Linked DNA regions of Mus musculus. The protein of the gene in region 1 purifies or fractionates together with the protein of each later gene. This does not show direct contact. Links are inferred from orthologs where the notes say so. Each region holds a gene or a part of one and is shown in the gene's direction. Other genes may lie near its edges.

The links. Proteins that work in one complex are often made in the same cells at the same time.
Region 2: the proteins of Cxcr4 (region 1) and Itch purify together in Homo sapiens (affinity purification with western blotting; 5 studies listed by BioGRID and IntAct, with this or other methods). This does not show direct contact. The link is inferred for Mus musculus from reciprocal best matches to the Homo sapiens genes CXCR4 and ITCH.

Annotation. Positions count from the first base shown.
Region 1 is NC_000067.6:128,588,843-128,594,925, reverse strand, and holds the start of Cxcr4 (C-X-C chemokine receptor type 4), read left to right. Parts: upstream 1-2,626; 5' UTR 2,627-2,716; coding exon 2,717-2,737; intron 2,738-4,200; exon of another isoform or gene 4,201-4,215; coding exon of another isoform or gene 4,216-4,227; intron 4,228-5,024; coding exon 5,025-6,083.
Region 2 is NC_000068.7:155,130,913-155,137,180, forward strand, and holds the start of Itch (E3 ubiquitin-protein ligase Itchy), read left to right. Parts: upstream 1-2,568; 5' UTR 2,569-2,673; intron 2,674-6,268. UniProt on the Homo sapiens protein: Acts as an Acts as an E3 ubiquitin-protein ligase which accepts ubiquitin from an E2 ubiquitin-conjugating enzyme in the form of a thioester and then directly transfers the ubiquitin to targeted substrates.

The DNA of each region.
Region 1 (6,083 bases):
CGGAGCTACGCTACTAGTCCTCGGCATATCCAGGCACGACTGAGATCATAGACTAACACAGTTTTCATTCCCACCCTGTGCAGTTTCTTTCCTAAGTATTTCCCCTTAGTAATAACAACTCTTCACAAACACTTACCACATCCATATTCACTCCGTTCGCAGATGTACTAAATCATCTCAACTAGTCTGCTCATGGCGGACACTTAGGGCTACTCAGCTATTACTAACTATTCTATTATTAACACTATTGTCAGCAGCAGCCCCGTGAAGAGCTTTGTAGCATGACTGCAGTTTCCTGGGGCTACATCATGAAAGGTAGAATTACTAATCTCAAAAGGTTCTGGCTGCATACAAAATACTTTTCACTGAAGCTGTTCAAACACCACACACACACACACACACACACACACACACACACACACTCCTGCTACTGACAAGCGAGAGACAGCTGGTCTTTTCCAATCCAGAAGCCAAATATTATCTTTGAAAGGGGGAAAAAATCCCTCTCTTTTTTTTTCTCTAATTCTATAGTCACCAAATAGCATGTCATTGTTGTTTTATCTGCTTTCCTCCAGCAAAGAGACTTCACAGGAGCTAAAGAGACCTGTGCAGAAGCTTTCTTTTGTCCACCAATAATCAACAAATATTAATTATGCAAATCATTTTACTCAGATTGTACTCTCTGTCGTTCAGGGACAGGTTCGCAAGATTCCCTTTCTCCCATTTTAGCCTTTGGGAATGCAGGAATTTGGAGGCTAGACACAGCTCACCATCCTGCTGCTACCGATCTTGAACACCAGCGCTCTTTTAATGGGTCTGATATTCCGGTCCACGGGCTCTTCTGTCTGTCCTAACTAGTTTATGGAAATATGAGCCTATGTTTTAGTAATGATTGGATATAATTAAAAGTGCTTGTGGAAGTTCTTGGCTTTTAACTTAGCAGTTTTTGAGGGTCGCACTTCCTAATTTCATCCTTAGCTTTTCTGGATCACATAAGTGCAGGGCAGAAGAGGACTTTGACAGCACATTTTGAAGGAGAGTGCCCAGGCCATACAGGAAGATGGAGAGAGACGAGTTCCCAGGCTGTAAAACAGCTCCCCAGCACTTCCAACCGAAAGCCTTCCTTAGCTAAAGAAGGAGGTGCAAATGATAGTACAGTTAGTAGACTGCTTGCCTAGCCTACACAAAGCTCTGATTTAAGCCCTATCAGCACGAAAATTGGGCGTGGTGGCACACAACTGTAATCCCAGTACTAGGCAGGTGACAAACGGGATCATCAGAAATTCATGGTCATCCTTAACTACATACGGAGCCTGAGTCCAGCCTGTACTACATAAAACTGCCTCAAACAAAACAAACAAACAAACAAACAAACAAACAAAAAAGGAACGGGAGAAGTGGGGCGGGGATGGAGTTGAGGGCGCAGTCTGGGCCTGCCTATCCTTTGGTCCATTCCAGGAGGGGGTGGGGGCGGTATCTGGGTTGCATAGCAACCCAGGCTCCTGCTGCCGGATGTCTCACCACCCCCAGTGCCCCCGGCATTGGATCCCGCGGTCTCTGGCTGGAGGTCTGGTTGGTTCTGACCCCACCCTTTTCTCCCTCCCCGCCTAGCCCAGGCTCGGCGCCGGTCGGATCCCGCGCGAGCCTGGGAAGCAGTCTGGGCGCCCACTGCAACCTTAGCCTGTCTGAGATTCCCTAGCCATCCACGCCCCCAACCTGACCTAACTAGCTCTTCACTAAGACTTCCCATCTTAGTGTTCTGCGTGGGAGACGCGAGATAGGCATGAAGCGAAAGCTCTGGGCTCAGGCCAGGCTTTGCAGTCCCAGGCTGCTCCATTTGGTCTCTTGGAGCTCGTGGAGCGCCCACTGACTGCGCATGAATCGCGGCTAGCTTCCCAGCTGGGACTCTGTAATTATCTGTTAACTAGATGCATCCCCCTATGTGCTTATGAAATGAAAATGAACCAGTGTTTCTGTGCGGATTTCTTAGGATGTGATTACACAAAGTCCTCGCCGCTCAATTCTTTATAATAAAGCACATTTCAATCATTTTACATACACACACACCCAAATCTCTTCACGAAATTGTTGCCACTATTGTGACTTTCTTCCTGGGAGTATATCTGCTTCTGGATGGGTCCGCAAGTGCTTTCTGCCACACCTGACCCTAATGTCATTATATGAATATGTAGTAACACACACTTGCTTGGAAGAGTTTTGGTAGTAATCACTCCTGACAGCTCAGAGTATAGAACCCTGGCGGAGGTTCCAACATTGCCGCCTACTGGTTAGGCAGGCTCCAAGTCACACACCCCCATCCCCAGTCTTGTCTCAAGTTCTCCACCCGTAAACTCCAGGTCTAAAATTCTATCCACGTGGGTAAGGATGGATGCGCGACCCGCAGAAACACCCTGGCTGGCATCCTGCTTTCCCCAACTCTGAGAACATTATCCGGCCAGGCTCTGGACCCATACTGACTTAAAACACAACAGCAGTGGCTCTTGGACTTCTGTTTGCCCGCGCCCTGCGCCCCGCCCCCGCCAGTCTCCTCCCGCCCCGTCCGAGCTGCGCATGCGCCGCCCCGGGAGCGTGTTTTTATAAAAGTCCGGTTCGGGCCAGAAACTTCAATTTTGTTGCCTGGTGCAGCAGGTAGCAGTGAAACCTCTGAGGCGTTTGGTGCTCCGGTAACCACCACGGCTGTAGAGCGAGTGTTGCCATGGAACCGATCAGTGTGAGTGTAAGTCCACTTGCATCCTACTTTATAGTAAACGTGCAAACGTGTGAACTTAGAGCTCAGCCCCTTTAAGGAGCGGGTTGAAGCAACTAAAACCTTGAGGGGTGTCAGGGTCACAAGGAGGAGCGGGAACTAATTTTTTTTTATGTGTGTGAACATGGCTATAGGGGGAGGAAGATAGGAATATTTTTGCCAGTAAGTTGAGTGGGACGGGTTCAGATGGAGCTTTCCTAAGGTTGCTCTTGTTTCCCTCCCCCTTGAGTCCCGCGGCGCGCGCCGACTTGCACGCTGTTTGCAAACGTCCCAGTTTTTTGAAAAAGGGAGAAGGGCTTGCCCTCTGTCCCAAGACTCAGACCATCGTCTGGTCCTCCTGAAAACAGGAGTTTTCTTAGAGTTTCTTACATTGTGTGAATTTAGAGACTTTAGTCGGCACGCGTAGGCACTACATTCTGGGTGAGCTTCGAACCGGAGCGTCTTGGAGCGGTTCTTGGAGTTAGGAGTGCGGTTCTGAAATTCCATAGTGCAGACAGAGGAGCGCCCGTCTTCGGCGGGAAAAGTGAGCTAGTCTGCCGCGTCGCTTGCCTAGAGGGGGGGCACAAACTGCGGCAGCCGCGGAGAGAACGTCGCTTTGGGATGGAGCAGCAGCGCTTTGCGGGCATCCGACCCGCCACTTCCCCGCAGTGGCAAACGAACCTCCCGAGGTCGGGCTTGCCTTTAGGATCGTTCCTGAGAAAGGGTCATAAGTCTGTACCATGATGCTGCTGGCCATGACGGCGGTTGGGGACAGGAGGGCATGTTGGGACCGCACCTGGGTTGTGCCGGGTCGCCGGAGGGATGAACAGGTGCAAGCTCGGAGACTGTTTGACTGAGCCCCAGTGTTTAACCGTCGGTGGTTTCCTGAGCCTTTTGAAACCCCCTCGCTTAGGGAGGGTTTTGTTCTTTGGTGATTTTTTTTTTTTTTTCCGTTTCCTCCGGCGGCGCGCAATTCAAAGGCGCTCGCGCTGGAGCAGCCCAATCTGTCGCTCGCACCCGGAGGAACGATCCTGGCGCGCAGCCAGGAGGAACCCCTAGAACCGCTGTGTGTTGGTCGTAGACCTGGGTATGATGGGCAACGGTGCCAGCCCCTAGGTGGGTGACTCGGACATCGGGGTGCGCACGGTCTGGACCACTCCTGCTGCCTACCTCGGACTCCAGTAACTAACTGGGTCCGCTGCAGGATGGGAAGCGACCGGAAAGTGAGGAAGTGAAACTTGGGGGCGAAAACCACGGGGTACAGACCCCGTGACTTTCCCCACCCAGGACAGTGTGACTCTAACGTCCCAGATCCACCCAGTGATAAACATGGGTTTGGCAAGAGAGACCCACCTTCCAGAGAAGCGCCGCACGGGGTGAAGTAGGGGAGTGCTATTTGCTCCTTTCTAACACTCTGCTGACCCTAAACCCCCAAAGACCTTCACATTATCCAGCTTTCTTCACTACGCATGACTCGAAATGTAATAGTTTGTGTTAGACAGACGTGAGAAAAACAAGGTTTTGCGCCTAAAAAGCTAAGAGTCTTTGGGGGACCCCCACCGTCAAGCTCCGTCTTTCTTTCTTTCTTTCTTTCTTTCTTTCTTTCTTTCTTTCTTTCTTTCTTTCTTTCTTTCTTTCTTTCTTTCTTTCTTTCTTTCTCTCTCTCTCTCTCTCTCTCTCTCTCTCTCTCTCTCTCTCTTTCTTTCTTTCTTTCTTTCTTTCCTTCCTCCTTTGGCTAATCCTCATACAGAAATCCCATCTCCTTCAACACAGACTTTAACCCCACGCCGCTGGATACCACCGCACACAGTTTTGAGAGTGACTTCTTTGTTTGAATGGAGGATTTGTTTGTTTGGTTTGGTTGTGGGTTTTTTTGGCTTGGGTTTTTGTTTGTTTGTTTGTGGTTGGGGGGGGCTTTACTTTTTTTCCTCCGAGGTTTTTTTTTTGTCCTTTCCTCTCGTGGGCGGGGCAGGAGAGCTATTCAAGACTAAGCTGTGAAGTCCTTAGACTCTCAATGTCCTTTTGTTCTAAGCAAAGACTCTCCTAATTGGTTCCACTAAAGAGGGCATATAACAAGTGACTGGTGGAAGATGGAGAACACCATTGGTTGCAGGATTCTGTGTTCTCTCTGGACCTTAACCAGCCCTTTGGAGTTTCCTGGGAAAGGTTGTGTTAAAACCTGCAATCAATACTAGCTTTTTAGGCAACAGAAACACTTAAAAATTGGGAAGGCTTGCTGACCTTGAAGTGACGTTGTCTGTCCCTGTTTCCTTTGCAGATATACACTTCTGATAACTACTCTGAAGAAGTGGGTTCTGGAGACTATGACTCCAACAAGGAACCCTGCTTCCGGGATGAAAACGTCCATTTCAATAGGATCTTCCTGCCCACCATCTACTTCATCATCTTCTTGACTGGCATAGTCGGCAATGGATTGGTGATCCTGGTCATGGGTTACCAGAAGAAGCTAAGGAGCATGACGGACAAGTACCGGCTGCACCTGTCAGTGGCTGACCTCCTCTTTGTCATCACACTCCCCTTCTGGGCAGTTGATGCCATGGCTGACTGGTACTTTGGGAAATTTTTGTGTAAGGCTGTCCATATCATCTACACTGTCAACCTCTACAGCAGCGTTCTCATCCTGGCCTTCATCAGCCTGGACCGGTACCTCGCTATTGTCCACGCCACCAACAGTCAGAGGCCAAGGAAACTGCTGGCTGAAAAGGCAGTCTATGTGGGCGTCTGGATCCCAGCCCTCCTCCTGACTATACCTGACTTCATCTTTGCCGACGTCAGCCAGGGGGACATCAGTCAGGGGGATGACAGGTACATCTGTGACCGCCTTTACCCCGATAGCCTGTGGATGGTGGTGTTTCAATTCCAGCATATAATGGTGGGTCTCGTCCTGCCCGGCATCGTCATCCTCTCCTGTTACTGCATCATCATCTCTAAGCTGTCACACTCCAAGGGCCACCAGAAGCGCAAGGCCCTCAAGACGACAGTCATCCTCATCCTAGCTTTCTTTGCCTGCTGGCTGCCATATTATGTGGGGATCAGCATCGACTCCTTCATCCTTTTGGGGGTCATCAAGCAAGGATGTGACTTCGAGAGCATCGTGCACAAGTGGATCTCCATCACAGAGGCCCTCGCCTTCTTCCACTGTTGCCTGAACCCCATCCTCTATGCCTTCCTCGGGGCCAAGTTCAAAAGCTCTGCCCAGCATGCACTCAACTCCATGAGCAGAGGCTCCAGCCTCAAGATCCTTTCCAAAGGAAAGCGGGGTGGACACTCTTCCGTCTCCACGGAGTCAGAATCCTCCAGTTTTCACTCCAGCTAA
Region 2 (6,268 bases), on another chromosome or scaffold:
TGAGATGAACCTTGGAGGCACTGGGCTCCACCTCCTCAGGATGTCAGTCTCTGAATAAACGTGGTTTCCTTCTCATCATTTTCCTCTAGAAAAGGGCTGACATTCAGTGACAAGCAGTTGGACATTGGTTCAGTAACAGTGAGTTGTTGGGAGAAGGACTGAATTTTAAAAATCCATATTTCTCTGAAGTCCACATTGTTAATTCTTGCTAGTTCCTGCCTTGCAGGTCAGAGATGATTCCCCCATTGACACTGGCAGAAGGCTAAGGCAGTATATAGTTCAGTAGGTCACAAAATGTGATTCCTGGGTGTCAGCATCACTGGGAAAATGCCCATTCTTGGCTTCATCTAGAACTTTCTAAACTTCTAGGGGTTAGGTCCATCTTAGGGACATAGCACATGTATAGTATATACAAATCCAACATTAAATCCCCAGAACAATAATTTTTTAAAAAGATTTTCTTGGGAGAAGTTTGGAGTATAGCTTTTAACTTTCATCACGTTAGTTTTACCTACTATCATAGAAGTTTTCAATTGAGCTGGGCAGTGGTGGCGCACGCCTTTAGTGCCAGCACTTGGGAGGTAGAAACAGGCGGATTTCTGAATTCGAGAGGCCAGCCTGGTCTATAAAGTGAGTTCCAGGACATCCAGGGCTTCACAGAGAAACCCTGTCTCAAAAAAACCAAAACCAAAACAAACCCAAAAAAGGAGAAGTTTTAAATTATGGGGCTTGGCCAACCAATCTACAAACCTGACTACTTGGGTTCCACCCCTGCCTGATACCTGGATCCCACAGTGGGAGCCGAGAACCAGTTCCTAGAAGTTGTCCTCTGACCTCCACACTTATAAAAATAAATAAAATAGAAATGCAAAACCCATGTAGGCAAGCTGAGTGTGGTAATTCATGCTTGTAATCTCATTACTGGGAAGGTTGAGCGTGAAGCATCCTGAGCATGAGGCCAGTCTGAGTTAGTTAGTGAGAATTTGTCCCCTAAATAAAGAAAAAACTGTAGATAAAGATTATCTGGAACTAGATGACTTGGCTTGGAACCTTGGTTTCTGTGTTAGTGATCTTGGGCCAATTAATAATTTCCTTTATATTCAGTTGTTTTCTGTACAAAATAATAAAGTAACAAAATATATTTATAATATTTGTTAAAATATCTTATAGTATGCCCAGTGACAAGAATCATCTGGGATGCTAGTTTAAAAAACAAAACAAAACGAAACAAGAAACCAACCCAGATTCTCCTAGAGCACACCACTCTCTCAATATTGGGGATAAAATCTTGGGCCTCATCAATGCTATGTAAGTATCTACTAGTGAGTTACATCTTGAGCCAACTCTTACAGCTTAATCCCTAATGTGGCAAACATTGGCTGGAAGTGCAGAAGAACTTTTAAATACTTAAACACACCAAACCAAAACTAAAAAACAAAAACAAAATCCCAAAAACCCAAACCCAGGGTTTCACCACGTAACCTCGGTTGGTCTAGAACTCTCAAGATATTTGGACATGGCTAGCCTTGAACCCACAGAGATCCATTTGTCTCTGTCTTCTAATGGAACCTGAAGCTTGCTGTGTGGTCTAGGGCGTTGACTAGGGAGCTCCTATGTCTGCCCACCACTGTTAGGGGTCCGTTGGTGCCAGCTTTTATATGAATGCTGGGGTTTCAAACATCCTTGTGCTTGCATGGCAAGAGCCTTTACCCACTGAACCATCCTCCCAACTCAGAATCTTTTTTGTTTAATAAACTCAGCACATAATTCATAATATGGTAGTTTCAAAGGTATTTCGAAAAGTTTAAGTGACTTTCTAGATAGTTTCCTTACGAGGAAACAGGATAAACAATAATAGCAAAGTTTGCTAATTATCACGTGCCTCTATTATTACCACTGCACAGCCTATTAATTCGGTAGGATTAGATGTGTTTTGCCTGGGTTAAGAAGTTTAATTTAAGCATCTGAAAAGGTAACCAATGGCATCTTTCACATAGTTTTGTTGTAAACGTTTAGAAGTATGCTTTTCAGTTTTTATAACTCATGCCGCCTTGGCGCTGTCAAGCTGTCACCCTCCTAAGAACTTCCTGTCAAAAGGTGGAGAAAGGAGAATTTGAACCCAAACAGTGTAACTCCAGAAGGATAGAACCGGCACAGTGCTTCATAAATTGTGATTCCTGCTGTTAGGAGTATCAGGAGAGAACTTGATAAAAATGCAGATTATAAAGCAACCCCTATTCCATCCCAGATCTACTGAGTCAGAAACTGGCGGTGGAGCTCAGCAGTCTGTTTTTAAAAGCTGTTCAAGTGATTCTGAGACACGCTAGCATTTGGTAACAGTCTTTAGAGGTCCTGGCGGGGAAGAAGGGGTCAAAAGGAAGGAACGAAAGAAGAAAGGAAAGAAGGGAGAAAGGAAAGGAGAAAGGAAGGAAGAAAAGAAAAAAGCCTTGGAGATGTAGAGAGCAAGGCTTAGTGTCCACTTCACCTGGAGGTGAGGAAAAATGATTTAGGAGGCTGGCGCGCAAGGCCTGCTGGGGCCTGTAGTCCGGACTGCGCCGAGGAGGCCGCGCCTGCGCACTAGGTGTGAAGTAGCTCTAGTCGCTGTAGTCGGGGCTCGGGACCGGCTGCCATCTTAGCGGAGGGACTGAGGAGTCGTCGCCGCCCCGAGTCCCGGTAAACACGCGCAGGCAGACTGGGGTCATTTCTGTGGCTTGGAGGGAGTTTGGATGAAAAGGCATGGGGAATGCGAAGGGTAGAGGAGTGTGGCGCTCGAGTCTGGACCTAGAGCCGGGGCTGCTCTTCCCGCAGCCGGTGTCCGTGGGGGGCGCCCGGAGAGCCGGCTGGTGGCCCGAGCCGAGTGGCGGGTGGGTCAGCAGGTCGAGCCGAACTGCTAGTGCTTGGCCTAGGCGTCCGGAGCCTGTAGGCCCGCGAGCCCCAAGTTGGGAGAGAGCCGAGCCGCGGCGGACGTGGGCAGGGTCCAGCCCCGCGCCCCGCTGCCGCGCCCGGGGGTTCCTCTCCCGCGGCCCGGCCTACGCGCGGGGCCCGGTGGCAGCGGCCCGCCCGCGCGACGTGGCCCTTTGAGGGGCGGCGGCCGGGCCCACCTGCCACCTGGCAGGCTCCCCCCGAGACTTTTCCAAGCTCCCACTCGCAGAGGACCTTCCCCAGTGACTGCTTCCCCTTCTGTCTTGTACTTCCCTCCTCCCTCCATTGTCCCCACTCATGGTGGTCCCGGCCCAGGCCGGCGCCACCGACTTTTGCAGACGTGGAGCTGTCACAGCCCTTTCTACCGAGAGCGTACTTTTCTTGAGCAAAGAAAAAAGTAGAGGTGAGCGCATTTGAAAGGTGGAAGCCCAATGAGGGCAGGACTTTTAAATAGAAGACTTGAGTTTTGAGACATAGTTCCCGGCTGCAACTTCAAGAGAGAAAAAAAATATATAAGGGTCAGTGCACCCGAAGTAGGCATTGGGCCTAAAGTTAGAGATGTGACCAGGTGACTTGCAAAGTACCCCAAATTCACAGTTCCCCACTCGCTTGTTTTCTTGGCTGTGTTAGAATCCTAATCCTGTTGAGACTTCTGTTCCTCTTTAAGCTGCAGTGAACTTGTTCTAAAGGGGGCAGTGGGGAGAAGAGGGAGGTTTTCTTCTTCACAGTTGACAGAACACCATCTAGCCACCCATCATCATTCTCTTAAGTGGGTGGTTCTCCTGTATCCTTATCTTAAGAAAGTAGGTAAAGGCTGTGTATGTTCACTCCCAGGATTGGCAGAGGGCTTGGTTCTCATCTGAAATAAAGTCTTTTGGGGGCAAGTTTGAGATTCAGCCTTGTGTATCACAGGGTTACCTAAGGCTTAATTTTGCAGGTTTAAAAAAGATTGAAATTTTCTTTTGAACAGTGAATATACTTTGTATGTGTGAGTTCAGGAATTCAAACTTCAGATGTCAACAAGGATATATATACTATGAATCCAAAAGCAAGTGCCTAATACTTTTTACTGTATTCTAGAGTAAATTCTACATTCTTTAAAACAAACAAACAAACAAACAAAACAACAACAAAGATTTACTTAAGAGACAGACTGATCCATGGTCCCAAGGTTTGGCCATTAGTGTAATTACAAGAGCTTTTAATTTTTTTGTTTTTGTTTTGAGACATGATTTGCTCTGTATCGCTGACTGGACTAGAACACACTGTGTGTAAACCTAGGCTGGCATCAAACGTCATTCTGTCTTCCTGCCTCTCCCTCCCAAGTGCTGGGATTATAGGTGCTTAACCAACAGAGTGGGCTCGGGAGAAGTTTTGAGATTTGTTTATTTGTGTGTGTGTATGTGTGCATGCGCACACCATGACTTGAGTTGGAAGTCAAGAGTGTTTCCTCTTTCCTGTGTGTTCTAGGGTTCACACTCAGGTCATCAGGCTTGCATAGCAAGTGACTTTCCTTGCTGAGCTATTTTGCTGGACCAGGAGAGATTTTTGAAAGTAGAGTTTTCAGCTCAGTTGGTAGAGTGCTTGTTTACCACACACAAGGCCCAAGTTTATTTAGCTCTCAGAAGCATTGGGAGGTGAGGCCGCCTGAAGTACTTGAGACCCTTTTTAAAAAAGTAGATGCTCTCAGGTCTCAGTTTTGAGATAGAATAGTGGGTCTGGATTGGCTTCTATAACTTTACTTACAGATGGGCTGTAGGTAGTTGGGATGGTTTTGGGAACACTGAGGCAAATCATAGTATGGTTATAACAAAGACAGCACAAAAAGCTTTGAGATGGGGGAGGAAGTGGAAGTGGCCTGTGTGGGATTGTTGAGGGAAGTGGCAAGACCTATGTATGAAGGTCAACATGGTTAGTTCCAGGCCATCACAGCTACCTAGTGGGTCCTGGCTCAAAAAAGGGTTAGTCTATGGACCCGAGGTTCTAGAGCAGTGGTTCTCAAGCTGGGTTTTGGCCCCTTTGGCAAGCCTCTAGCTCCAAAAATATTTACATTGTAATTCATAACAGTAGCAAAATTACAATTATGAAGAAGCAGCAAAAAATAATGTTATGGTTGGAGCTGGTAAGCCCCATGAGGGACTGTACAGCATGAGGAACTGTATTAAAGGGTCACAGCCTTAGGAGGGTTGAGAAGCAGTGGGTTAGAGGATGAGTAGGAATGGGGCAGAGGTGAAGAAAGGGAAGGAAATACCTTACTACCTCGAGGCGTGTGTCAGTTAGGAAGGTGGGAGAAAAGGAGCGCAGGGTGTGGGATGCAGGGGCCTCAGGACCAGGAGGGCAAAAGGACCTGTTCTGGAAAAGCTCTGCGTACAGTGCTAATGCTCGTGAATTTGATGTCGTGAGAGATCAAGGCTTGGGGAAAGGAAGTGGTCTAAGTTGGTGTTTATTTAAAAAAAAAATGGCTCTGATGATAAAAGTGAAAGGGCCAGAGTGACTGTGGCAGAAGTGTCCCTTGTAAGTGACAGGCTGGCCTTGGCTGGGTGTTTCATTTGGCTGAAATAATAAAGTTGCTGTGTCTGTTTTAGGGCTAGTCTGATTGAAGGCTACCTTTTCTCTTAGGATGTGTTCATTAGCATCTTTGAGAAATTAGAATCAGATTAGATGCAATTTGGAAGAGAACTTGAGTTTTGGACTATAATTGATTATTATCAGCACATCAAGCCATGCTTTGTCAATGTGTTTTCCAGTCACAGAGACTTGGTGCTTGAGCTTTATATTTGGAAGAGACTGTCTGTTTTACAGTAGCAAGTATGTTTTAGGTTGTAGGTCAGCTTTGATTGGAAATAACTTCTGGAAGTACTGTTAGTGAGGATTCTGGCCATTGTGGCTTGTGCCTCTAATCCCAGCACTCAGGAATCTGAGTCAGAAGGATTGACAGCCTGGACTACATAGCGAACTCCAGGCCAGTCTGCTTCAATGTGAGGACCCTGTCCCCCTCCCCAAAAGTTGGTTCTGATTATGTTAGTTCACTGGGGAAGTACGTTATGACTGATGTGGTATCTCTAGTGAACAGTTATCTAGTAGGCAGTGTGTGTGTGTGTGTGCATGCACATGCCACGTATACACATATATACGACTTATACTATTCTTACACTGGCCCAATCTCTTAGCTTTCTGTTTTTGTTTTTGACGACAGGGTCTCAGTATACAAACCGGGCTGGTTTTGAATTCACAGAGATCCATCTGCCTGGCTTACATAGATAGATAGATAGATAGATAGATAGATAGATAGATAGATAGATAGATAGATAGTTAGTTCCAGGCCAGCCAGATACACACAATGAGA